Macaca mulatta: one gene and its partners. The protein of the gene in region 6 interacts with the protein of the main gene of each other region in a pairwise test. Links are inferred from orthologs where the notes say so. Each region holds a gene or a part of one and is shown on either strand. Other genes may lie near its edges. The genes, in order: CEP70, CDR2, TFIP11, RALBP1, TRIM54, SMARCE1 and CCDC136.

Region 1 (3,500 bases), on a different chromosome or scaffold from region 6:
AAAAAAAAAAGACTGAATCTATTTTAAGTTTTTTTTTTTTTTTTTTAAACAGGGTCTCGCTCTGTCACCCAGGCTGGAGTACAGTGACATGATCATGGCTCACTGCAGCCTTCCTGGGGTCAAGTGATCCTTCCACCTCAGTCTCCTGAGTAGCTGGGACTACAGTCAGAGACCACCACACCCGGCTAATTTTTATATTTTTTGTAGAGAAGGGGTTTTGCCATGTTGCCCACTCTGGTCTCGAATTCCTGCCTCAAGCAATCCGCCTGCCTCTGCCTCCCAAAGTGCTGAGATTACAGGCGAAAGCCACTGTGCCCAGCTTATTTGAAGTTCTTAGCTAGTTTTAACTTCTTCCATGTGGACTCCTATTTTCTCATTTCCCTTGCCTACCCGTGTGTTCTTGTTCCTTTCATAAGTTATCGTGGGAGAGAACTGACTAAAGTGAGAATAAGAATATTATGTACTCATGATTAGCTTTAGAGCAAAGGAGATAGAATGGTGCATTTAATATTCCAAATTCCAGTATATGTTTACTTTTCAAAGGATGAAGAAAAATTGACCGGGATGCAGTGGCTCATGCCTGTAATTCCAGTACTTTGGGAATTCCGGCACTGAGCCTAGGAGTTCAAGATCAGCCTAGGCAACACAGGGAGACCCCATCTCTACCAAACAAAAAATTAAAAAATTAGAGGCCGAGCGTGGTGGCTCATGCCTGTAATCCCAGCACTTTGGGAGGCCAAGGAGAAAGGATCACTTGAGGTCAGAAGTTCAAGACCAGCCTGACCAACATGGCGAAACCTCATCTCTACTAAAAATACAAAAAATAGCCAGCCGTCGTGGCGCGCACCTGTAATCCCAGCTACTCGGGAGGCTGAGGCAGGAGAGTCACTTGAACCTGGGAGGCAGATGTTGCAGTGAGTCGAGATCGCGCCACTGCACTCCAGCTTGGGGGACAGAGTGAGACTCTGTCTCAATTAAAAATAAATAATTTTAAAAATTAGCTGGGTGTGGTGGCTCGCACCTATAGTCCCAGCTAAGGGACTTGATTAGTCTTGAGCACTAGAGGTCAAGGCTGCAGTGAGACATGATCACACCACTGCACTTGGCCTGGGTGACAGAGTGAAACCCTGTCTCAGAAAAAAAACAAAACAAAAAAAACTTAAGTTTCTCTCACCTGGTTTCCAAATCTTTTTGGAGGTTCAGCTTTTCACTTAAAAGTGCATCAATCTGAGAGTTTGACTCCTTGAGTTGATTCTGTAATGACTGCAACACATTTCATAGAAAAATAATTAACTTTCTTAGATTACTTACTTTATTAAAAAGTATTTATTGGTTATGCAGTCCCCATACCATTAAAAGGCCTTTATAAGTTGGTGAGGCATCCAGACTTCTGTAGTCATTTTCTTCTTCTGACTGACTTTCATCTTCTTTATATTGCCTATGAAAATATGCATGCAGTATACTTATGAAAAATCTATCTTCAAAGAAAAAAATCTAATTAAACCAACATAATGAGGGTTTAATCATCTAAACATGAATTAAAATTAATTCAAATTTCCTACTTGTTCTCATAGAGAATGGTATTAGAACACTACTACTATCTATTATTATAGGACATACAATATCCATTTACTCTCTTTTTATTTAGAATATATGATCCATGAGGACCAGAACTTTTGTCTTATTCACCACTGTATCTCACTGCCTAGAAAAACTATGGACTATAAGAGGTGAAAAAGCACTGCCGAATAAACAAAACGAAACATGGGTGGAACATCCAGGTTCTTTCAAAAAATGCATTCACATACTATTTTTTCCTTCTAGTACTTTTAGGTAACCAAAAAACCTATATGAAAAAATGCAGATCATAAGTGGAAAAAGCAACAGATTTAATAGTCTTGGTTCAAGCCTTGATAACACCACTAACTAGTTGTATTATTTGAATAAATCAATCTCTCAGAATTTATTTTCTCATCTGTAAAACAGTATCTGTCACATCTACTTTACAGGACTGATGTAAAAAGCAAACGAAAGATACTGAAGGACTCTGTGAAATGCAAAGTGCTAGCAAATACATATGATTATTTTTAGCAATCTTGATTAACTATCACTGTGATGTCCTATATGGTAACCAACAGCTACATGAGCTAGTGGTTACCGCTTAACACTTGAAATATGGGTAATGCCACCAAAGAAATAAACTTTGAATTTCATTAAATCTTAAATTTAAAAATTGAAGCAGTATAAAATACTTTTCTGTTAAGTACAACTTTATTGTTTAAGGACTACATTTTGCTTTAACTGTTGCATAAAGTATTACTATTGTAGCCTAGTGTGCACTGGGTACATGCATGATTTCTAGTATTACACATAAACATATCACCAGTCTAGTAAGTTATCAATGGATTGATTCAGTTCAAATGATTTATTTATTCCCAATGTGTTTATTTTATGCATGTGCATATAGTCTGATGATAAAAACAACAACAACAACAAAAAACTTTGGACAACACTGGCCTTAAAAAAATGGATAAGCAGAGAAGCTTTTGCCACTGCAAGAGGCCCATGTCCCGCCTGTCTTCTTCCTTTGGTCTTGCTGCTTCAGTTCTACAGGTTTATAGCTCTTCTCTTGTGCTTCCTGTTTATCCTACTTAGGCCTCCAAATCTTAGCCTGTCTTCCCCTCTCTCCTCTTTCATCTTCTTTACTAATGTAATACTTGTCAATGAATTGTTACATCCTCTTTTTACAGTACTCCTACTTCTTTAGATGATACTTATATCCTATTGGTAGATCTCAAAATCTATCCTGAAATTGCCAGAATCTCACTTTCAAGTTAGTACTCACTCTTAAAAAGGAGACTGAGTTTATAATATAAACTCCTTTCAGTCAATGAATCCTGAAAAACCCCCTCCTTAGGAGACTCTTTTTATTGCTGCAAATTTTCTCATTTGTAGAATATTATTTATTAATGTATCTCATATTTTCTTCCTATCCTCCACTTCCCTCAATAAGACATTCAATCCAAATATCTGACCCAAGGATAATCTGCATAGGCCAAAATACTTTACTTCAGCTAGACAACTAATGAAAAGCTTTTTAAGCTAAAAAGTGATTCTTCTCCAAGTCGCTTGTTCCTCAACCCCAGATTTTCATTACAAACTCATGACAACTAAATTCAACACCACCACTCCAATGGCCTCAATCCTTTTGTCACCTTTAGTCAGAGAACCCCGTTTGCAGAACTCTACAAGTACCTCTCACATCATATTCTACATGAAAAATTTCCTGATGGCTATGTTATGTTAAATCTATTCTACTCTTACCAAAAACCCCAAATCCCCTCTCTTCATCATCTAGATCAGGGGTCAGCAAACTGCTGTCTGCAGGCTATATTCAGCAGGCTGTTGGTTTTGTAACTATTTTTATTGTAACACACCTGTGCCAATTCATTTACATATTATCTGTGTCTGATTTTGTGCTCCAACAGCCTAGTTGAGTA
Region 2 (4,103 bases), on a different chromosome or scaffold from region 6:
ACAGTTTATTACCTTATGTTCTAGAGATAATCTTTCAATTATATACTTAAACCTCGATTTTTTTGTTTCGTTGCTCAAAGTTTGCTAGATATTGGCCCTGCTGTCTTCCATCAGCTGCAATTTTACCTTTACGTCAAGGTTGAGAACATTGACCTTCAGGTCTGTCATCCTGCTTAAGAGTTTCCGTGCTTTGTCTGTAAGATGGTGCTAAAAGCTTTACTCATGAGCAGTATTTGCTGGGTTATGTCGGTGGAGGACAGCGTGCTCTGCCTTGCTGGCTACTAAGTGCTGGGGCTGCAGCCTGACCCCTCCAGGTGCAATGCCACGTCCCCAGATGCTTAACTTGTGGTCTAGAGGTACCTTTTAAAAATCGTTGCAACCCTGCTTACAATTTTCCCCCTCCAAGTGGACAGCTTCGGGCATCCCTCACTGCCCCAGATTCTCAACGGGGTCTGGCGCCCACCGTTTTAGGGAGCGTAATTCCCAGAGCTCAGATGTCAACGAGACAAGAGCTACCGCTCAGTGGGCGTTTTCTCAGCCCTAAACTCCCGATCGACTCCGAGTCTCCTTGCCGGACCCGGAGCAAATCTCAGAGTCAACATGCGAGAAGCGGCAGCCGGGCGGCGGACCTCCGGCTTCCGGCACCCTCGCGCTTCCCGCCGGCACGAAGGACGCCTCTCGACAACCGCCCGCCTCTCAGAGGCCGAAGTCCTAGGCCCTCCGGCCTGCGCTGCCTGTCCACGGACGCGCTGGCCTCGGGACACCCACCAAAGCGGCAGGACTCGCCTCCGCCAGCTCCACAGCCCGGAACCTAGTACGCGCTCCTAGGAGCCGCACAGCGCAGATCAGGGGGCGGGCTTTCGGCCGCACCCCTTCACTGTTTCCCCGCCTTCTTTGTTTATTCGGGGCCCGTCATTGGCTGCTTGGCCTCGAAACCGGGCGAGCCGCGGGTCTTTGGAGAGACGCTATTGGACGAAGTCCCTGTCGCTCGGCCAGCGGCCCGCTCGCGATTGGTTGAGAAGCCGCCGGGGGTTTGAATCGCATCCCCGGCCGGGGAGGGTTCTGCCAAAGTGCCACGTTGGGCCCGGCGGCGGCGTGAAGACCGGCGGCAGCGTGAGAACCTGGCTCCCTACGTTCGCGCCGTAACGCCCGGCCGTTGGGGCCGTTGGGAGGCGCTAGGCGAGTCGAAGCAGCCGGCCGGTCGGCGGCGGTCGCCGGCGGGAACGGGGCTGAGGCGGCGCGGCGGAGCCTGGGCGGCGGCGCGTCCCGCCCGAGGGCGGCTCTGGCTGAGGGCGGAGGGGCCGGGGAAGAGCCCGGGGCAGCGGCTGAGGCGGGACGGCGGCGGCGGGGACCGTTGCCCCTAGAGGACCCAGCCGAGATGCTGGCGGAAAACCTGGTGGAGGAGTTTGAAATGAAGGAGGACGAGCCGTGGTACGACCACCAGGACCTCCAGCAAGGTGAGGGCGGGGGCGCCCCGCGGGCGGGCGGGCGGCGGCGGCGGCGGCCTGGCCCGGGAGGCCCCCGCTGCGAAACTGTTAAAAAGTTGCTTTTTCTGGCGGCTGAGGATGCAGGTGCCGGGAAGGGCTCGGGCTCACCTGGCGGCGGGGCCGGCCGTGCCCGTGGATCCCGCCCGCAGGAAGCCTCGGCGCGGGGCCCACGGCCCTGCTAATGCGCAGTTGAATATCAGACCCGAGGCGCATGGGGGCCAGGGACGCGCCAGGCACCGTTTTAAGCGCTTTCCGTGGATTAGCTAGTTTAATCCTCACTGCATTCCTCCGAGGCAGACCGGGTGAGCCAGTGTGTCCCGTAGTAAGTGGCAGAGCCCGAGAAGCCGCCCCCTCGCAGGCTGTGTAGCCCAGCGCCTTTCTTGGCCAGCACGGAGGGCCGGCTGCTGCAGGTGGTAGTGGTTTTGCGATGTAGCGGGAGCTGTGCGCTCTGCGCCGTAACTCTAGGAGACAGTAACTTTTAAAAAATTGATTAATTTTGAGGGTACATAGTAGGTGTATCTATTTATGGGGTACGTGAGATGTTTGGATACAGGCACGCAGTGTGAAATAAGCACGTGATGGAGAACGGGGCGTCCATCCCTTCCAGCATTTATCCATTGAGGTACAAACAATCCAATTACACTGAGAGTAACTTTTGTTATCCCATTTTCCAGATGAGGAAAGCGGAGGTTGAAACGGTTGAGTGGCTTGCCTAAAGCTAAGTGGGGGAGGGAGTGGTTTTTTGAACCCACACACTCAAAAGGAGGAGTTGTAGTCACTCCTCAAACCCCCATCCCTTCCTTACCATCCTAGTTAACAGTTTTTTTTCAGTTGGGAATTAAGCTGTTACGCATAGTTCACCAGATGCCAGTTGAAATGACAGAAGAGCGCTTCTACCTCTGCCACTTTTCTTCAGTTTGCATGCCAGCTTTCACTTAGAAATAGGCCTGCCGATGGTGTCTCCAGAGAACAATCATAGAGCAGCCAACACTTTGGGGCCAGTGGGGCCCCACTTTTTTTTATACTAATAGCAGGAGCTAGCAATTGGGGAACACTTTTGATGTGCCTAACACTGATAGGCCCATAACAGAGTTGCTCATTTATCTCCCAGTAACACAATAGAGGTGATAATGTTGGGGAGTGCTAGGGTTCCCCTTAAGACTCGAGAGCAAACATTCTTAACCGCTATACTGAACACTGTGAATAATCCTCAGGAATTTTTCCCGGCATCTTTGGTTTCTGCAATTCTATGTAAATGTTTTCAGCTCTAATCTTGCAGTGAAAATTAACATCTCATTTAGTTAAATATTGAATGATGCTGATGCTTGTTCATGCTAACCACTGAACATGGCAGATGCTTGTTCATGCTAACCACTGAACATGGCAGATGCTTGTTCATGCTAACCACTGAACATGGCAGAAGGAAACTGTGTAGACTTGAGTAACTCAGAAAAGGAAAATAAAACGAGCACCTCTTTTGGAGGAAGATAATTTCTTAAATTAACATGCAATCACTTTAACCAAAGTAATTCACCTTTATTACGCTTATAGAGTCCAAGCTGCTTAGTGGTTGCAGTGCAGTGTTTGGTGGCATCATCTTTATGTCCAAAGGACACATTTCTCATACGTTTTAACAAACCTGTTTTCAGATTTCCCCATAGGGATTGATGGCCTAGTTTGATAGTTTCTCCAGGATTTGTGAGGCAACCACTGTGCCATTGCAGTATTTCCCTATAATTTAATTTGTATCATCACAACTAAATATTTTTCTTTCCTGTATTTAAGAAGCATAGGCCGGGTGCGGTGGCTCACGCCTGTAATCCCAACACTTTGGGAGGCCGCGGCGGGTGGATCACAAGATCAGGAGTTTGAGCCCAGCCTGACCAACAAGGTGAAACCCCGTCTCTACTAAAAATACAAAAATTAGCCAGGCGTGCCTATAATTAGCATGTGCCTGTAATCCCAGCTACTCAGGAGACTGAGGCAGGAGAATTGCTTGAATATAGAAGGCCGAGGTTGCAGTGAGCCAAGATGGCGCCGCGGCACTCCAGCCTGGGCGACACGAGACTCTGTCTTAAAAAAAAAAAAAAATTTAAGAAGCATAAATCCTTAAGGGTATAGAGGGGGCAGGTTCTTTTTTCTGGTATTCCCAGCATCTAGCATAATACTTGGCACATACTGGAAGCTCGATTTTAGTATTTGTTGAACTGCACTGAAGCACTATCACAGAAGTGTTTTCATGGCTCTCTTCCATCAGGTGCCTTAGTCCACGCTGCGTTCTCCCACTGTTGGAGGTTGTTTGGAACCACCAGCTGTAACACTTCAGTCTATCAAGCAGCAAGTGCAGCGTGTCAGGGTTACAGGTGGAATTCTCTTTAACCTCTGATCAAAATAAAGTCATCAACTCTTCAAGTTTAACGTTAAAAACACAGGTCTGGCCAGGCGCGGTGGCTCACGCCTGTAATCCCAGCACTTTGAGAGGCCGAGGCAGGTGGATCACGAGGTCAGGAGAACGAGACCATCCTGGCTAACACGGTGAAACCCTGTCTCTACTAAAAATACAAAAAATAAAAAATTAGCCGGGCATGGTGGTGGGCGCCTGTAGTCCCAGCTGCT
Region 3 (3,500 bases), on a different chromosome or scaffold from region 6:
AAACTTTCTTAGCGTGATGGTAGTAGAATCCAGCCCACAGAAGTTGGTTTTGGAGTTGTCATTATGTTTTTCTCATACTGGTTAAGACTTGTCATTTTTTTCTCTAAAAGTATCTACACATCTGGCTACTTTGGGAAAATCAGAGGATCAGGCAATACTAAGCCCACATCCTCATAAGCAACAATCACCTAGAGCTGAATAAAGATTTACCTTCTAGACAGGCTAAGGCCTCACCTCTGTGCCACAGTCCCCACCACTCTTTATTGTCTAGCATCTGGCTCATCTTACTTGCTTCTGTGGTGTGCCTGGCACCTGTAGGCTTCTAAGTCTGAGAACCCCTGACTCAGAGTGGTCAATCCCACATTATCAAATGACTGTGTCATCAAAAGGTCAGTGACAAGAAGAGTAACGTGTTTCTTTGCAGCATCCTGCTTTCCCCCATAAATTCAAATGGGAAAAGAGTAATACTTCAATCAACAAAGCTGGCCCCTTCTATCACTGGGGAAAAGGGACACACAGCTGCCAGCAGATGGCTCCCTGCTGCACTTGGGATGAAACCCAAGCACCTAAAAATGGCTGTCAAGGCCCATCTTGTGGCCCGCCCACCCCTCTGAATGCACTTCCTTCCCCTCTGCTTTGTGTACCACCCTCCCACCACAACGGCTTCCTTTATGGTTTCTTAACCGGCAAGCTCAGAGCCTCTCAGTGTCCTCAGGCTTCTCAGCTCACCCTTCTGCCAAGTCTCAACTGAAATGTTTCCTTTCCTCAAAGGTTTCCCTGACCAGCCTATTTATAAAAGTAGGTCAACACCACCTCCCAACCCCCAACCTTATTTTCTGTCTAGGCAGGTCCTAGCACCTTCTGCCATTTCAACTGCCACTTCCACACCATAGCTGCTTGTTTACTCTCTGTCCACCGTGCGCCCTCTCATCATGGTGCACCTAGCCTTCAGCCCAGCACCTGGCATATGGTACGTGTACAATAAACATCTGAGGACTAACAGAATGAAGGGATAAATGAACAGCCATTAGAAATGGACAGGACACCACCCACCCATGTCTCCTGACTTCCAGTTACCTCTTCAGCTTCTTCCTCTGAGTCAACCACAGGGAAGTCTTGCATTGACTGCGTGGTGCGCTCGGATCCATAAGCCCCCACAGCACCTTTTCCCTTTCTCTGCTTGGCTTCGATTGGGTTAATGATACCTGAGGAATTTCAGCAAAAGATAAAAAAAAGACAGTCTTATGATCACAGCAATTCATGTATGTGAATCAGCCACTCAGTGAAATGACAGTTTCTTGCTCCTTCCACAAAATAACACGCTACTCAAGGAGAGCTATTCTCTGCCCTCAGAACACTACTCTTGTCCCTTGTGATTTGAAACTTATGAGCATTTATGCTACCACAGAACAGTCTGCTGACTGGTTTATTTATATCCCAAATAGATTTCCATTTCTACTTGGATTGTTTCAGTGGACAAGAAAACAGAACACTACATTTATAACCGAGAACTCCAGCATACTAAATTCTACACTTCACTTCTTTGGAAGCCTCTATTAGGGAAAATGCAATAATTCAGATACTATATTGACTCTGACTGAAGTGAAGCTGTAATTTAATATAAGACTCATGTATTTTACTTAGGAGTTCCTATCTCCTATGTTTAACTTTTTTATAACAAGTTTAAGCCCTAGAAATAAATGTTGCTTTTCTCATAAAAGAGTTTACGAATAGGACCACAACATTTCAATGAAGATGTTGCCCCCCCTCCAAATTTTCCATCCCTGCCTCCCTTCCATTTAGTACAGCTGAAGTCTCAAATAAGAGCTATCCCTGGGCCAGGCATGGTGGCTCATGCTTGTAATCCTAGCACTTTGGGAGGCCAAGGTCTTGAACCAGCCTGGGCAACATAGTAAGACCCCATCTACAAAAAAAGAAAAAATTAGCCAGGCATAGCAGAGTGTGCCTGTCGTCCCAGCTACTCGGCAGGCTTGAGCCCAGGAGGTTGAGACGGCAGTAGGCTATGATCATGCCATGCCACTGCACTCCACCCTAGGTAACAGAGTGAGACCTTGTATCAAAAAAAGGAAAAAAGCTGTCCCCTCATTCTCATTCAGCGTATCCTTGCTTAAGTTCATGTATTTTTCATGTACCTAATGTTTTCAACACATAACCTGGATTTCACTTTAATAATTATTTAGAGGCCGGGCGCAGTGGCTCACACCTATAATCCCAGCACTTTGGGAGGCCAAGGAGGGTGGATCACTTGAGGTCAGGAGTTCGAGACCAGCCTGGCCAACATGGTAAAACCCCGTCTCTACCAAAAATACAAAAATTAGCTGGGTGTGGTGGCAGCTGCCTGTAATCCCTGCTACTCGGGAGGCTGAGGCAGGAAAATCGCTTGAACCAGGAGGCGGCGGTTGCAGGTGAGTCAAGATCGTGCCATAGAACTCCAGTCTGAGCGACAAGAGTGAAACTGTGTCTCAAAAAGTAATATTATTATTTAGAGACTCAAATTTGAATATGGAGGACACATTTGATTATATCTACTTGGCAATCATGCATAGGATATAGCTCAAGAAGAAGGGGAAATGTTCTTGTAGGAAGAATCCAAGTGTTTGGTTTGAGAGGCTTTGGTCTCAAGAAGATAAGAGTGTGACAGGGGCTGTGTCTCAGTGAGGCTGGCCATGAGAAGACAGGAGGAGACTGGGCTACTAGACGAAGATGGAAGTAACCAATGAAGGATTTGCTCAGCCAATTTTACAGCCATATGGCTCTAATTATTAAAAAAGCTAAACACAATGTTTTACTGATATTCCTGAAGGACAAATAACCGTTTCTGCAAAACTAAAACCCTTGTGAGTAGGGATGGCAAACTCAAATGACTTCGGGACCAAGAAAAGTTCCTGTGGGTTGGGGTGGAAGACAACAGGGGGCCGTGGAGACTGCCTCCAAGAGAAGACCATGTCCATTGTCCCAGGAGCAGCTCTCACTTGCCTCAACTAACTACTGCCAGGCAAAATCTAGAATTTTAGGTGAAATTGTCTGTTTTTTAAATATTAGCAACTAATTCATTTTTGTCTTTATTTATTCTATTTATTTATTTATTTATTTAGAGACTGAGTCTCACTCTATTGCCCAGGCTGGAGTGCAGTGGTGTGATCTCGGCTCACCGCAACCCCCACCTCCTGGGTTCAAGCGATTCCCCTGCCTCAGCCTCCTGAGTAGCTGGTCAGGACCAGAAAAAAAGCCTGTCTCCAACCTGTTTGCAGCCTATTTTACACCCTAACCCTTTTCTTCTTGTTGAAACAATTACTTATTTAACTTGAGCTTTGATAAAGCAAGGTAGCTTAGGAGTGCAAATGTCTTGTGCTGGCAAACCAGGCTAGAGAGAGTGAAAGTGCTTTTAAAAGGGAAAAGCAAACCTCCTCTCCCAATGCCCCTCTCCTTTCCTCTGCCTGCCCTCCATCACACAAGACGACCAAAGTGCAATACCTTGT
Region 4 (3,500 bases), on a different chromosome or scaffold from region 6:
GTGATCCAGAGATCTGGGATTTTACTGTTGCTGTGGCTGGTCCACTCACAGTCCCAGAACCAAGCAACACACACTAAACAAGAGGGAACTCAAAAGTCTGACTGGTGTACCCTAAACTCATCAGGTACTGCATGCCCCTCTTCTTCTTATTACATAAATAGAATCTCTCCTGATCTTCAGGACCTTCCAGGCAACCCTCATCACTACATTTCCAAAGAGCTGATACTAAATGCCTCAAATTCCAGCAGTCCCCGAAGGTGTGTCACCATCCAGCCTGCTTCTCATCTGCAGAAAGCCTTGTTTACAGGTATAACCGAGCAGGAAATGACAAATTTTTTAGTAAATTCATTTTTAATTAAAACAAAACTTTCTAGGCCAGGCATGGTGGCTTATGCCTATAATCCCAGCACTTTGGGAGGTGGGAGGACTGCTTGAGCCCAGAAGTTTGAGACCAGCCTGGGCAACATAACAAGACCCCATTTCTACAAGCAATAAAAAATCAGCTGAGCATGGTGGCACACACCTGTAGGCCCACCTACTCAGTACTCAGAAAGCTGAGGTAGGAGGATCCCTTGAGTCCAGGAGGTCGAGGCTACAGTGAACCATTATCATGCCATTGCACTCCAGCCTGGGTGACAGAGCGAGATCCTGTCTCAAAAAAAATAAAAAAAACGTTCTAGATTACATTGAAACATGTGACTGACACCAGGCTGCAATATCAATAATACAGGACTAGAAACATTTTAGTGAATAAATTTCCCACCAGAGAAGTTCACTTCAAGTGACATTATCTATAATATTCTTAAAAGAAAGAACTTGGGCTGGGCGTGGTGGCTCATGCCTGTAATCCCAGCACTTTGGGGGAGGCCGAGGTGGGAGGATTACTTGAGGCCAAGAGTTTGAGACCAGCCTGGTCAATATCAAAAGAAAAAGGAAAGAAAGAAAATACTTCAAAGAGCACATAAAGGACATAAAAGACTCCAACACGTTCTATTATAAACATTAGGTATCAAACTAGTAACCCACCTGTCTTTTAGCTTCTCTGAGTTTTCTTTTGAGGGCTGTCAAAATTCTTTGTACTTCCCATAATCTTTCTTCTTTAGACAAATCCTTTATCCCGCCCTGCAGATCTCGATGTAAACAATTCAAAAGAAACTCCTAGAAAGCAATGCCACACACTAAGTTGCATTCCATATCCTCTTATCTTAAACAACACATGCAATTTCTAAAGATGAAGAATCAACTATTTTTCAATTATCCTTTATTTCATTAGAGTAAAATAATGGCACTGATATGATTGAAAAATCATTCTTATTGTTTTGCCAATGAATTATTCGCTAATTTGTATTGGTTCAATAATACTTAACATCCCCATCTCCAATGTCATCATCATTAACTAGTAAGAACTGGGAGCTCACGGCAGACACAAGGGAGGAAAAGCAAGCAGAGGTTTGATAAAGTGCATGCAAATAAATAATCAAATGTAATTAACTTTCTTATTTAGTCTTGATTACACACACCCACACAAACACGGCATGGTTACTTCCATCAAAATAACATAGTAAAAACGCCCAGGATTTGGGCTCAACTCTTGGGTCTATAATAAATAATCATGTTACTTAACTTCCCCAAATTTTAATATTCTTATCTATAAAATATGGCTGATGACAGCAACCTTGTCCAGAAAAAGCAAACATTTTTAGACTATTTACAGCGTGCCTGGCCTGTTCCATGTATTGTCTCATTTGTGGCAAAATCTTCACACCAATCCTTGAAGAGGGCCCATTTTAAAGCAAGAACACCAGCGCTTAAGGTGGTTAAGAATTCGCCTAAAATCAGTTATAACTGAGAGCAGAGCAAGAATTTAAAGCCAGGTCTTTTGATTCCAAAAACTATGCTCTTTCCACCATGGTATTCCGACTTATTCAGCATGAAACAGTACCAGATGGGAATTTTTGACTTCAGTGTGCCTCACATAGCTCCAGACACACAGAAAGTGCTCAGGAAACAAGAGCCCATCACCACTGGACTCCACAATGGCCAATGCAGACGCAGGCTGTGGCAGGCAGGGTGCACACACCTGTCTCCTGATCTCCTCCTTGATGCCCGCCTGGGTCTCCGGCAGTGTGGGCATCGTGGCCATGTTAGACCATCGCAGAGGTTTCGTCACTTGCTTTAGTACCACATTTCCAAAGAGTTCTTGCACATGTGTGAAAAACACATACAAGACTCGATTGCTGATCTAAGAAAAAAAGATTTACAAGAAAACCATTAAAATTATCATTCTATTTCAGTTATTTGTGTCTAACATAATATATCCTTTAATCCTGGACACATAAAGAAAATTCTACCCAGTACTGACAACACAGTCTTTGCTAGTTAATGGTCAATTTAAGAAGAAAATGGTCAATTTAAGAAGAAAACTCATAAAATATGAGTTAAATCATGTATTCAAGCACCAGAAAGAATTGAAGAGGAAAAAAAAAAACCAAGAAAAGGATAGAGAAGCTGATGCCCATTCATTTGTTTTTTTTCTTTCTATCACTACAGTATTAACTGATTAAAACACCTTATTTTTTTTGAGTATTGTTTTGTTTTTTTGCTTTGAGATGGAGTCTCGCTCTGTAGCCCAGGCTAGAGTACTGCGGCACAATCTCAGCTCACTGCAAGCTCCACCTCACGGGTTCAAGCGATTTTCCTGCCTCAGCGTCTCTGGTAAGCTGGGATTACAGGTGTGCGCCACCACGCCTGATTGATTTTTTTGTATTTTCAGTAGAGATGGGGTTTCACCATGTTGGCCAGGCTGGTCTCGAACTACTGACCTCAAATGATCTACCCACCTCAGCTTCCCAAAGTGCTGCGATTACAGGCATGAGCCACCATGCCCAGCTAAAACATCTTATGTTCTTTATTTTCAACTTACTTTGAGATATTTTAACAGCTACAATGGGCTGAATGAGGACCGTGAGGGAAGTGAGAGCACCACAGCAGTAAAACTGGGTTGAGGTTGAAAGCCCTCACTCCAGAAACAAATACCTGGACACAGCCAGCATTTAAGTGTGGATGTTCACATGCTAGGAGACCAGGGCATTAGGTTGGCTGAAAAGCTACTACAAGAAATTACTTCCTACCTAAAACTTACTCTTACAACACACTTGACTCTTCTATGATACAACCATCTCTATTATATTATAGTAATATTAAGTATCAATGTAATATTTACCAGATCCTGAAATCCTAATATGAGTGATCAAACTAAAATCTGAGAAACATTTTGCTTTCAAAGTGTAACCAATGAATAACAGAAGAGTATTTTTTAGAGACAGAATTTTGCTCTGTCACCCAGAGAGGAGTACAGTGGGATGATCATAGCTCACTGCTGGGCTCAAGCAATCCTCCTACCTCAGTCTGCCAAGTAACTAGGACTATACATACATGCTACCACACCCAGCTAATTTTTTATTTTTTTGTAGAGACGGGGTCTTGCTATGTTGCGTAGG
Region 5 (4,048 bases), on a different chromosome or scaffold from region 6:
CAAAAATAGGGGCATGAAATATGTGATCCGGAGAAGATTGCACTTTCTGGACTCTTTTCCCACTCTTGCCTCTTTGTGCTGCTGTTTCGTATCCTCCTCACACCGTGTATTTCCTACCCACTCAGGGTCACTACCTACTAACTCCTCAGACTTCTCTTCCTGGACTGGGAGAAGGGCTAAAGAATGGCGGTAAATAAAAGAGCTTTTGTCCAATCCCAAGGCATATTTTGGACCCAGAAAAGACAAATTGTGTCTGGGGTGGAGGAAAAAGGCCTAAAGAAATTGCTTCTTGGCTTTTTGGCTAATATCAAGTGGAGAAAAAGACCTGTAGGAGAAAAAGAAGACCAGTGCTCACAACTGGGGCGAGCCTGGCTTGGAGAGGAGGAGTCCTGGACAACTGTGGAGCTGGGGCAGAGGCTTCCTGGAGCCTTATGATTATGACTTTGTCAGTGCTCTAAAATTTCCCTGGAGGTTGATTCCCTGGGTGCCCAAAATAGGTCCCTGGCATTCATGTCCTTTCTGCCCAGCTCACCTTCTCCCAATTTCCTAACAAATTTGAAGTCCTTGGAGTGGCTCCAGGGATGTGTTCACGAACCAGAATCCCACATTTCCTCGGGCGCATGCTCATAGGTAGGTCCAGGCCTTGGCACAATACTCATTTCTAGCCTCTTGAGCTTCATTTCCTAGGGTGATATAAGAAAAGGCAGGCAAGAACAAAAATGAGCCAGAGGTATTGGACAGGAGGCTTGATGGAGTCTCTGGAGCTGCTGTTCTGAATCACACAGTCTTGAGGAGGAGGACCAGGGTCACTGGCTGAGCCTGTGGAGGAGGCAACTGCTACTGACTCTAAGTCTGGCAAGATCTTTCCTCCCACCCTGAGCTATGTATGGGTGCTTCTCACACAGGCAGATTTAGATTCTGTGTCACTGTCCTGGAAGAAGGGCCCAAGCCAGAGCAGGGGTCCTGGGCTCAGAGGAGCCTTCAGAGTGAGAGGGCAGCACCTTTGCTGACCCACCTTTCACCGTAAGCAGTGGTGCTTGCCCCTGCCCTTGCTCAGGGGAGTCACCCATTCCTGAGTGAGTCAGGGTCACTCACTCCGTGACAGCTGTGGCTCGCCTTACATGAGCTAAATTGGGAATTGGAATGTCATGCAGATGCCCCTTGTCTCCCCACCCCCACAGTAAAATTAATCTCCTCTCTGGGGAGTAAGGGACAAACAGTGCTACCCACAGAGTGAACAAGAGAGAGTCATTTGGGAAACAAAAGGAGGACTTTACAGAGAGAGAGGGATAGCTAAAACTACGTGAGCCTGCCGAGGGTGCAGAGCAGAAAGTGGAGACAGAAGTGTCTGAAGACTGCTATCTGGGACGAGACAAGTTGTTAAAGGGACAGGAGAGAGAGCAGAGCTATTTCAAGAGTGAGCCACAGAAGGGAATCCACAGGCCGTCTGAGTGAGGAAGGGTCTACAGACAGTGAGTGAAGGCCAGGAGCAGGACCCAAGCCAGGGTAGGCACAACCACCGAGGGGATGAACTTCACCGTGGGTTTCAAGCCGCTGCTAGGGGATGCACACAGCATGGACAACCTGGAGAAGCAGCTCATCTGCCCCATCTGCCTGGAGATGTTCTCCAAACCAGTGGTGATCCTGCCCTGCCAACACAACCTGTGCCGCAAGTGTGCCAACGACGTCTTCCAGGTGGGCGCCAGGGATGGGGCAGGGCCAGGTAAAGCAATGCAGACCTGTGGGGGACTGATCAGGTCAGAGCTAAGACCCCAGAAAGTGATGGATAGAGTGCTCTCTGAGGTAGGTGGTGGCTGTTGTGGCTGGAGAGCAGAAGGGCTGGGGTCCAAGCAAATCCCAGAGCAAGCATGAGTCAGCAGCTGCCCTGCAGGCTGGCAGGTACAGCCTGTCCATAGACGGCAGCTGGAGTGCTGGGATCTGCTGAGGAAAGGAGACCCTGTGGAAACTGGGAGGGAGGGGATCCTACACCGGTCTTTTAAGAGCCTGTGCCAGACTCTGCATTCCAGTTTGGAGTTTCACACTTTGAGAGCATTGCGGAAAATACGGAGAAAAGATTAATGAGATAATGAAACATTAAAAAACAAACAGAAAAAACCCAACCCTGTGAGAAAGCTCCATAATGGCAGTAAAACGATTCGTGTTTAAGGAAAGTTCAGGGCATCCGTTGTGGGGGACAGAGTTAGACGCAGTGGGCAGGAGACTGGGAACTCTTCCCCAACTTGAGTTCATACCTGTTACCTCCAGATTGTTGAGTAAAGAGGCCTACTGGTTCAAAGCTATTGAGGTCACTTGACAAGCAGAGAGAAGGCAAAGAAATTTACTTTTAGAAGTCTAGCCAGTTTTGGTTTATTTGTGGTCATGGAGCCAAGCATAGCTAATCAAATTCACAGATACCATTTTAGCCACTGGTTTAGAAATAAAAGCTGCATATACCAGAATGGATTATAAGTGGGCTTTTTTTTCTTTTCCTGTGCTACCGGGGAGGTTCTAGTAGGCTATGAAATGGAACAGAGATCAGGGAGAGTGAGGGGCAAAGGCACACACACACACGCGGCCTTGCCGATTAAGCAAAAGCCCTGAATGTGGCCGGGCGTGGTGGCTCACGCCTGTAATCCCAGCACTTTGGGAGGCGAGGCCGGCGGATCACGAGGTCAGGAGTTCGAGACCGGCCTGGCCAATATGGTGAAACCCCATCTCTACCAAAAATACAAAAATTAGCTAGGCGTGGTGGCAGGCGCCTGTAGTCCCAGCTCCTCAGGAGGCTGAGGCAGGAGAATCACTTGAACCCAGGAGGCGGAGGTTGCCATGAGTCGAGATCATGCCATTGTACTCTGACCTGGGTGACAGAGCAAGACTCTGTCTCAAAAACACAAAAACAAACCCTGAATAGACCAGAGCTGGCTTAGTATGTGTGTCAGTGATACGGAACATCCCAAACAAGTATTCTTCAGTGTCAGAAATGATGAGGAAATGTGTTAAACACAAGGGATTTTTAACCTAACCAAGAAAATACTTCCCTCTTAAGTTCCTCGGGGCAGCTTGTTTGGGAAAGGAATGGACTGGCTAGGTCCCGCCATCCCACGATGTACCCTGTGACCCGCCCCTTGTATGTCTGCTGTGTGTCATCTTCACTGAAGACCAGCACTCTGTGGTCTCTCCTGCCATCTTCCCATTGAGGCCCATTCCCTCTCCTATTCTTTTATGTGTCCAAACCTGCCATTATTCAGCTCCAGAGTATCTCAGAGGCAGTAGATTTTCCGTCTCGGGGGACCCAGACCAAATGCTATGCCTCCTCATCCTGTGCATGAAGTCCTGCATGAGAGGCAATGCTTTGCCCACCATCTTGGTGTTTCCTTGGTCTGAGGAATTCCGAACATCCTTCAGGCTGAGATGCCTAGGAGGAAATGGCGGAAAGATTTTGCCATCATTTCTCATGAACTGACAGTGAAACATCCTCTCACTGGAACTTGAAATGCGTGAAAACAAAGAGAAGTTTTGAAAGTTAAGGTGACGTGTCCTATAGAAAAGTGGTCAGAATGTCCAAGAGCATTCCTGGGTGCCTCTGTCGTCTGGCAGAGGGGCCCAGGAGCAGTCCCCATACATGGAGGCTAGAATGTGTTCAAGTGACATGCTTGTTTAAGTCAACCCTTTCTACCCAAGCACACTGTTTCAGTTCCAGAAAGCTCTGGAATACTGATCTGGGCTCAGAGAGACCTTGGAATGGCTTGGGGCAAACCCTGTACAGAATATTTGGAGATAACGTGATACCCAGGGCTTTGGGGTGGCCCTGTGGGTCTGGAGTGATGTGTGTCGTTTGAGGTGCAGAGCAGCCCTGGCCCCTCCAAGGAGGAAGAGTGAAGAGCTCATCCCTTGCTGCTTATTTGGGAGGGCCTGGTGGGAGGCTGACCCAGTTCTTCAGCTGCACTCAAGTCTGTATATCTCAATATATCTCAGTAGATCTCCCTCGGAAAGATGAGCAGATTTAGTTTTTTCACACATTGCCTCCACATTTTGACAACTGTAGGCA
Region 6 (3,500 bases):
AAAGCAGGAGGATTGCTTGTGGCCAAGAGTTTGAGACCAGCCTGGGCAACACAGCAAGACTCTGTCTCTACAGAATACTTAAAAATTAGCTGGGCATGGTGGCTTGTGCCTGTAGTCCCAGCTGCTCCAACTGAGGCTGAGGTGGGAGGATCAATTGAGCCCAGGAGTTCGAGACTGCAGTGAGCTATGATCATGCCACTGCCCTCCATCCTGGATGACAGAGCAATACCCAGTCTCAAAAAAAAAAAAAAAAGAGGGCATGTGCAATTATCTACACAAGACAATGAAGGCTTTTGTTCAATGAGAGCCTCTTCATGGGATAAATAGCTGTTCAATTAGATCATAATTAGAAAAGCCATTCCCCGAAAAAAGGAAGCAGATGACTTACATGCAAGGAAGAACAAGCCCAAATTCTTAGACCTTATTACCCCATCTGTGGTCAACACTGGGGCCATATAAATGAAAGAAGAAAATAAAAAATAACAAAAACAGATAACTTAGACAGACGTAGCACAGATATACCACATATAACCCTAAAGGTGAAAAACTCTTAAAAAGTAGAAAGATTACAGAGTTTTTAAAAAAACTGTATCTTACCTAATAGTTTTAATTTCAGAAGTTTATTTCCTAAAGGAATTACTCAAAAGGAAAGAAAAGTAATTTTTTTAACTTTTTACAAAAACAACAGTTTTTAGCTATAGTATTTATGATAATGAGAATTTTAGGAACTGCTTAAGTGCAAGACAATAAGAGAGGTGCTAAACTGACATAGGAGCACCACAAAGGCCTCTAACAGGGTTCCCTCTAACAGGCTTTCCTCTGTAACAGGCTTCCCTCTGTAACGGGGTTTCCTCTGTAACAGGGTTCCCTCTGTAACGGGGTTTCCTCTGTAACAGGGTGTCCTCTGTAACAGGCTTCCCTCTGTAACGGGCTTCCCTCTGTAACGGGCTTCCCTCTGTGACGGGCTTCCCTCTGTGACGGGCTTCCCTCTGTGACAGGCTTCCCTCTGTAACAGGCTTCCCTCTGTGACAGGGTGTCCTCTGTAACAGGCTTCCCTCTGTGACAGGGTGTCCTCTGTAACAGGGTGTCCTCTGTAACAGGCTTCCTTCTGTAACGGGCTTCCCTCTGTAACGGGGTTTCCTCTGTGACGGGCTTCCCTCTGTGACGGGCTTCCCTCTGTGACAGGCTTCCCTCTGTAACAGGGTGTCCTCTGTAACAGGCTTCCCTCTGTAACAGGCTTCCCTCTGTAATGGGGTTTCCTCTGTGACAGGCTTTCCTCTGTGACAGGGTTCCCTCTGTGACAGGCTTCCCTCTGTGACAGGGTTCCCTCTGTGACAGGGTTCCCTCTGTGACAGGCTTTCCTCTGTGACAGGGTTCCCTCTGTGACAGGGTTCCCTCTGTAACGGGCTTTCTCCTCTGTAACGGGCTTTCTCCTCTGTAACGGGGTTTCCTCTGTAATGGGGTTTCCTCTGTAACAGGGTTTCCTCTGTAATAAGGTTTGCTCAAGTATGGTTCCTCCCTGTCTGGTGGGACACTGAGGTGATTAAGTGGGTCAAAAAGGAGCATTTGTTTTGTATGTATTGCTACAGAGAAAGCTTTTTTTTTTTTAAATGAGTTAGTTTAAAGAAAAATATTAAGTAAACAATAGTACAGGCTGTTAGTAGATATATGAAAAACTATGAAGGCGATAGAGCAAAGACTGAGATTAAGGAAACACTAGATACCTATTAAAAATAAGCATATAGGGTGTGCGCAGTGGCTCACACCTGTAATCCCAGCACTTTGGGAGGCCAGGATGGGCGTATCATGTGAGGTCAGGAGTTCAAGACCGCCGTGGCCAACATGGTGAAATCCTATCTCTACTAAAAATACAGAAATTGGCTGGGCATGGTGTCATGTGCCTGTAATTCCAGCCACTTGGGAGGCTGAGGCACAAGAATCGGTTGAACCCGGGAGGTGGAGGTTGCAGTGAGCCGAGATTGGGCCACTGCACTCCAGCCTGGGTAACGGAGTGAGATTCTGTCTCAAAACAAAACAAAACAGAAGCATATAAACCAGACCCGTACAGCTGGCTAAGTGTAAACTGACAAAAATTAAATTTGGAATCAAAACATTTATTTTTCTTCTATAAAATTCCTTGAGGGCCTGGGAAACTGAATATTGTTAGAGATGATGTTTCCTCTGCTGTGATAATTTTACAAACTGGCATTTTCATAAAGTCACTGCCCAGTTCATATGTTGTTCGTTAGTTGTTAAATGCCTTAAGTCACTACCAAGAAAGTGAAACATTGGGCAGAATTTCAATTACTGCCATCACATGCAGCTTTCACATTGATTCCAAAGCCAGAAGAGACATGTTGTATCTCATTTATGTTTTAGCCAAAGCCTTCTCAGACACACATCATCACTTAAAGACTGTGAGATAAATTACTACCTTGGCCAGTGAACACATTACGTCCTCTGTATGGTTTTTATCAAGTAACTGCCCAGTGCTCCCATGACGCTGGTCAGGTCCCCTTGTTAGGCCAGCAAGGGCCATGGTTCCTTGATAATTAAGTGTTAACATGTTACACTCCTTTTTATGGTTACTGGTGACCTACTTTGCAGAACAATTTGTTCATTGCAGATTATGATGATGGCTTTTCAATGAAGCATACAGCCACCGCCCGTTTCCAGAGAAACCACCGCCTCATCAGTGAAATTCTTAGTGAGAGTGTGGTGCCAGACGTTCGGTCAGTTGTCACAACAGCTAGAATGCAGGTCCTCAAACGGCAGGTCCAGTCCTTAATGGTTCATCAGGTAAAGTCATAAAACTTTCAATAAAATGGACCTATACCACAAATCCCAGCTGACGTGATTCCTACACCATGCCTAAATGTACCTGTTAAATATGTCAGTCTAAACTGTTCCTGATTTGGAGAAGAGGTTTAAGGAAGTGGACCTTTCCCAAATGTTTAATAAGTTTGTCATTAAAAACTATAATATAGAACCTTGTAATGGAAGGTATATTTGTTAAGAAGTACATGTGAACTTAAGAATTTTGAGGCGTCCTATCAGTCTTTACTGCTCTACTAAATACTTTTTCCAAAGGAATTGCTCAGGCCTGAAACAGTATTCTTTAACATTTACCTATTGATCATAATCATTTCTTTGTGCTGCATTTTGTATTTTTTAAATCTTAGCTAGACTCATGTAATAAATGATCTAAAGTTCAAAACATTATTTGGTACACTGTTTGAAAGTATGAACCATTAAAACAGGAGATATGATTGTAAAGCCTGATCCTGTCTTGCAGCGAAAACTAGAAGCTGAACTTCTTCAAATAGAGGAACGACACCAGGAGAAGAAGAGGAAATTCCTGGAAAGCACAGATTCATTTAACAATGAACTTAAAAGGGTATCTGTTTAATATGTTAACTATACTTTTATCACCGTACCTGTTACTTTACTTTTCCTCATTCTTTTTTCCAAAATAATATTTTTATTGAATGTTGTTCACT
Region 7 (4,079 bases), on a different chromosome or scaffold from region 6:
CTGGTATCCCCCAAGGTGCCTCTGGGCAAGACCTATACTCAAGATGAATCCTCAGGTGTGAGGGTCAAGTTGAGAGGCAGCCCCTCCACCTCCCAGGCCCTTCCTGGACCAATGTTGCACATGGTAGCCTCCCACCATTGCCTGTGGGCAGGCTGGTGCCCGCTCAGCATGAGACACTTGCACAGGATTACCTGCTTCTTCTAGGCTGGCCTCTGAGTAGCAGGACAAGTAGTCAAGAAAGGAGACAGTGAGTGGATCTTTCGGTCAAATGGGGTAACAGTTACAGTTTGGAGATTTCTCAAAAGTTAAAAACAAAAACAAAACAAAACAAAACAAAACTGGCCGGGAATGCTGGCTCATGCCTGTAATCCTAGCACTTTGGGAGGCTGAGGTGGGTGGATCACTTGAGGCCAGGACTTCCAAACCAGCCTGGTCAACATGGTGAAACCCCATCTCTACTAAAAATACAAAAAAATTACCTGGGCGTGGTAGTACATGCCTATAATCCCAGCTACTTGGGAGGCTGAGGCAGGAGAATCATTTGAAAATGGGAAGTGGAGGTTGCAGGGAGGCGAGTTCGAGCCACTGCACTCCAGCCTGGGCGACAAAGTGAGACTCCATCTCAAACAAACAAACAAACAAAAACAACCAAACAAAACACTATCCAGGTGGCTTGTGAAAAATCAGCCTTTCCGTAATAAGAAAGCATTGCCTGTCAGCAGGTAGAGAAAGAAAATATCTGATTGTAGAGGTTTCATTGGATAAACGCTGGTGCCCTTTCAAATGTATATTATTAAATACCTGTTTGAAATTTTCTACAAGGTCCACCTTGTTTTTCCCTGCTGCATGTCACAAAGTCTCCTCTCCCCTAGCTGAGCCATATGAAGCCCCTCCTACTCTGCTGACCACAAAGCAGCTTTCAGGGGAAGTTTTAGGCTGTACTTGTGTGTAAAAGAAAGCCTGCTATTTTAATGCATTAAAAAAACTGGGGTTTGGTGCTGGCCCCCAGCCTCTGGTTGTGAGCACCCGCTCCTTTACTGCAATGCAGTCCCTATAAATAGCAAAATGTTGTCTGGATGATGATTGTTTGCTTTGTTTTAAAATTCTGAATCTCTGGTCTTACTTTATCTAACATCAGCAGCCCTAGGTTCGTCTGGGACCCCTTGTGCCATCTGTCCCTCTTAGGGGGAGCAGGTTTGCCCATACTGAATGTGCAACGTGCAATACTTCACAGAAAGTCCTGGAAAATGGACCAGCGTCCTTCCAGGGGCCTGGTGTTGGCAGCAACTGCCAAGTCACATGGGTGTGGTGGGGATACACGTGTGTTGGGAGGATGGCCTCACACGCCCCCTCCTAGGCAATCTCTTTCAGGCAGTAAGGTATCCTAGAGAACCAAAGCCACAGGCTTCCATTCGAAGTTAATGGTGGTGGCCCCAGAAAGACAATTCACATGCCCAGTTCCTGGCTTTTTATAATAAGAGACAGCTTGGGATCTGGGTCGGCAGGCAGTGAGGACAAACCCCCTGCTGAAAGGCTGCTTCAAAGCTCTGTCCAACCAGGCCTCTTTCTCTGTCTGGCAGCTCCCTAGGGACACACAACCTGGTTAGCTGGGGGTTGACTGGGGTCCCGAAGGGATGCACCCTAAACTTCCGTCAAAGCCTGAGCCCTGGGAAGGGCTGGCGCTCTGAGCTGCAGGAAGAGGGGCTAAGATGAACTGAGGGAAGGGCTGTGTCCCGGCTTAGAGGCCTGGGGGTCAAAGGGAGGAAGAAAGGGAATTAAGGGAGGAGGGGAAGGGAAAGAAAGAAGCCTTTTGGGAAAACTCACCCTCCATAGCTTGCATCCCTCGTCGTTCCAGGGAGCCCCAGCGTTGGCCCTTCTTCCTCTCACAGCCCTCAGAGGCCTCATAGGAGCCTAGAGTGGTCACTGTGGGTCCTGAGAGCACGGAGAAAGGAAGGGCTGGGGGATGGGGGACTGGCTGCGGGCTGGGGTGCAAAGAAGGGGACATGCCTTCCAGCTCCTCGGGGCTCTGGGATCTGTAATCCCAGTGGAGGTGCCTGACTCACTCTCCCGTCTCTGCGACTCCTCTCTCTCTCCACCACCTCTCATGCTCTGCCTGCGGAGACCCCAGTCCTGACGCCCAGCCTCCTCAGAACCCCCTGTTCCAGGCCCCTCTTGCTTGCACAGAAAGAGGGGGTGTGCGTATTTAGTCCAGGGAGACAGGGAGGAGAGGGGCAAGACAGAAAGAGGGCGGGAGCCAGTGAAGAAGAGGCTGAAAGGGTGAGGTGGCCTACGGAGGGAGGGAGGAGTGGGGGGCGTGTGGGAAGGGGTAGGGCAGCGACCGCTCCCCTCCCCTCCCCTCTCATTCTCTCGCTGGACCTTGCCCACCCCACCCTCGCCCCGCGCTCAGGAATCTCCGGGGCTGCAGGAGGTGCGGGGTCTGGAGCCCCGAAGGCTGGAAGCACCGTTGGACTGGAGTGGAGAGACGCGCTGGGGAGGGACCACCAGACAGGATGCGGCCGGTGCGCTGAAGCCCCAGCCCCAGGCCGGAAAGATGGAGACCGGGCCCCGGTGGAGGCCAGGATGGAGGGAGGAAGACTCTGGGCGGAGAAGGGGGAGCCGCGGAGGCCAGGAGCACCTGGGGGTCTGGAGGGAGGAGGGATGGAGGAGAGAAAGGAGGGGCGGTGGAGAGGTGAGGGAGGGGCGGCTCTGACCTGGTCCCGGGCAGCTCCAGCCCGCGGCTCCCGCGCCGGCTCCGGCGCCCGCCTCCATGACCGCTCCCGCCGCCGCCTTACGCCTCCCCGAGCAGAAGCCGCAGCCGCGAGCCCGGGGACCCGAGCCGGGTGCGCAGGAAGGGGGGGGGGGCGGGAGAGGGGGCGGGGCCTGGCCGGGCCTCCTGACACCGCCCCCCGCCGCTCGCCGCCGCCCGGAAGCCCTCCCAGCACTCGGGAGCTCCGAGCCGGTGCAGGGGGCGGCTTGGGAGGGTGAGCGCGACCCCAGATACGCCCCAAGTCTCTCCCCGAGGGAGCGTGGGGAGCTGCGGGGCCCGGACAGTGTCAGGAGCTCCTAGGCTTAAGGCTGTCCCAAGAGGGAGGAGCGAGATCCCCTGGTTCTGGCAGCAGATCCCCCCGGGATCTGCTGTGCGCAGGGACCCTTCTGCACCAGGTGTCAGGGCCCAGTCATGCTCAGCAATGGGGACAGCAAAGGACGAGGTGGGACTGTTTCCTCCAAGCGCACAGACACGCGCGCCCCTCCCTCCTTCCCTCCCCCGCCCGGCCGGCGCCCCCACCAAGCAGTCGGCGCGGACTCCGGCCTCAGGCCCTGCTCAGCCCTGCCCGGTGGCCCCTCGGCAGCCTGGGGGCCGGAGGAGGGAAGTCGAGGCCCTGATGGGCGAACGGCAGGGCCCTGACCTTTCCGCTTTCTGCGACCCCCTACCGAACCAGGGCCAGGGACCCTCTTAGGGGGGCCCTCCGGTGGCCCCACCAAGCCTCAGGGCCCGAAGACCCCCTCTCCTCCGCCCTGCCTTCCCTTCCGGTCCCACACCAGGTGGGCTGTGAGCCACGCCCCCACTGTAGCCCGCGAGAGTGGGCACGACTGATGTTCACTCTCGTGGAAGGGAGATTTGGAAGCCCAGGGGGCTTATTTCACGTCTTCCACCATTCTTTTATTCAAGCTATGTCCACTGGGTGCCGGCTTTTGAAGAGGCAGTTCTCACATCTCGGCAGGTCTCAGCAAGGATAGAAGTGGGTACAGTTCGCAACAGGGGCTCCCCAGCACATCCAGGAAATGGCTGGGAGATTCCTAAGCCAGGGACACACGCAGATCCCTTCTCTAGCACATTCACTCACATTGTCTGCGTTCCCCCCGCTGCAGGAAAGGGGTCCGGATCCAGACCTCAGGAGAGGGTTCTTGAATCTCACGCAAGAAAGAATTCAGGGCAAGTCCGTAGAATAAGGTAAAAGCAAGTTTATTAGGAAAGCAAAGGAATAAAGAATGGCTACTCCATAGACAGAGCAGCCCCAAGGGCGGCTGTTTGCCCATTTTTATGGTTATTTCTTGATGATATGCTAAACAAGGGGTGG

The links.
Region 1: the proteins of SMARCE1 (region 6) and CEP70 interact in binary tests that used the Homo sapiens proteins (3 or more experiments, as listed by UniProt). The two-hybrid records come from large-scale screens. The link is inferred for Macaca mulatta from reciprocal best matches to the Homo sapiens genes SMARCE1 and CEP70.
Region 2: the proteins of SMARCE1 (region 6) and CDR2 interact in binary tests that used the Homo sapiens proteins (3 or more experiments, as listed by UniProt). The two-hybrid records come from large-scale screens. The link is inferred for Macaca mulatta from reciprocal best matches to the Homo sapiens genes SMARCE1 and CDR2.
Region 3: the proteins of SMARCE1 (region 6) and TFIP11 interact in binary tests that used the Homo sapiens proteins (3 or more experiments, as listed by UniProt). The two-hybrid records come from large-scale screens. The link is inferred for Macaca mulatta from reciprocal best matches to the Homo sapiens genes SMARCE1 and TFIP11.
Region 4: the proteins of SMARCE1 (region 6) and RALBP1 interact in binary tests that used the Homo sapiens proteins (3 or more experiments, as listed by UniProt). The two-hybrid records come from large-scale screens. The link is inferred for Macaca mulatta from reciprocal best matches to the Homo sapiens genes SMARCE1 and RALBP1.
Region 5: the proteins of SMARCE1 (region 6) and TRIM54 interact in binary tests that used the Homo sapiens proteins (3 or more experiments, as listed by UniProt). The two-hybrid records come from large-scale screens. The link is inferred for Macaca mulatta from reciprocal best matches to the Homo sapiens genes SMARCE1 and TRIM54.
Region 7: the proteins of SMARCE1 (region 6) and CCDC136 interact in binary tests that used the Homo sapiens proteins (3 or more experiments, as listed by UniProt). The two-hybrid records come from large-scale screens. The link is inferred for Macaca mulatta from reciprocal best matches to the Homo sapiens genes SMARCE1 and CCDC136.

The regions. Positions count from the first base shown.
Region 1 is NC_133407.1:41,523,804-41,527,303, forward strand, and holds part of CEP70 (centrosomal protein of 70 kDa), read right to left. Parts: intron 1,439-3,500; coding exon 1,351-1,438; intron 1,264-1,350; coding exon 1,175-1,263; intron 1-1,174.
Region 2 is NC_133425.1:21,841,763-21,845,865, reverse strand, and holds the start of CDR2 (cerebellar degeneration-related protein 2), read left to right. Parts: upstream 1-1,303; 5' UTR 1,304-1,378; coding exon 1,379-1,457; intron 1,458-4,103.
Region 3 is NC_133415.1:25,052,231-25,055,730, reverse strand, and holds part of TFIP11 (tuftelin-interacting protein 11), read right to left. Parts: coding exon 3,496-3,500; intron 1,206-3,495; coding exon 1,078-1,205; intron 217-1,077; exon of another isoform or gene 1-216. UniProt on the Homo sapiens protein: Involved in pre-mRNA splicing, specifically in spliceosome disassembly during late-stage splicing events. Intron turnover seems to proceed through reactions in two lariat-intron associated complexes termed Intron Large (IL) and Intron Small (IS).
Region 4 is NC_133423.1:80,490,931-80,494,430, reverse strand, and holds part of RALBP1 (ralA-binding protein 1), read right to left. Parts: intron 2,243-3,500; coding exon 2,081-2,242; intron 1,159-2,080; coding exon 1,027-1,158; intron 1-1,026. UniProt on the Homo sapiens protein: Multifunctional protein that functions as a downstream effector of RALA and RALB. As a GTPase-activating protein/GAP can inactivate CDC42 and RAC1 by stimulating their GTPase activity.
Region 5 is NC_133418.1:97,700,357-97,704,404, reverse strand, and holds the start of TRIM54 (tripartite motif-containing protein 54), read left to right. Parts: upstream 1-1,248; 5' UTR 1,249-1,527; coding exon 1,528-1,695; intron 1,696-4,048. UniProt on the Homo sapiens protein: May bind and stabilize microtubules during myotubes formation.
Region 6 is NC_133421.1:65,012,063-65,015,562, reverse strand, and holds part of SMARCE1 (SWI/SNF-related matrix-associated actin-dependent regulator of chromatin subfamily E member 1), read left to right. Parts: intron 1-2,626; coding exon 2,627-2,799; intron 2,800-3,295; coding exon 3,296-3,397; intron 3,398-3,500. UniProt on the Homo sapiens protein: Involved in transcriptional activation and repression of select genes by chromatin remodeling (alteration of DNA-nucleosome topology).
Region 7 is NC_133408.1:168,424,956-168,429,034, reverse strand, and holds the start of CCDC136 (coiled-coil domain-containing protein 136), read right to left. Parts: upstream 2,801-4,079; 5' UTR 2,770-2,800; coding exon 2,712-2,769; intron 2,301-2,711; exon of another isoform or gene 2,107-2,300; coding exon of another isoform or gene 2,064-2,106; intron 1,933-2,063; coding exon 1,825-1,932; intron 1-1,824. UniProt on the Homo sapiens protein: May play a role in acrosome formation in spermatogenesis and in fertilization.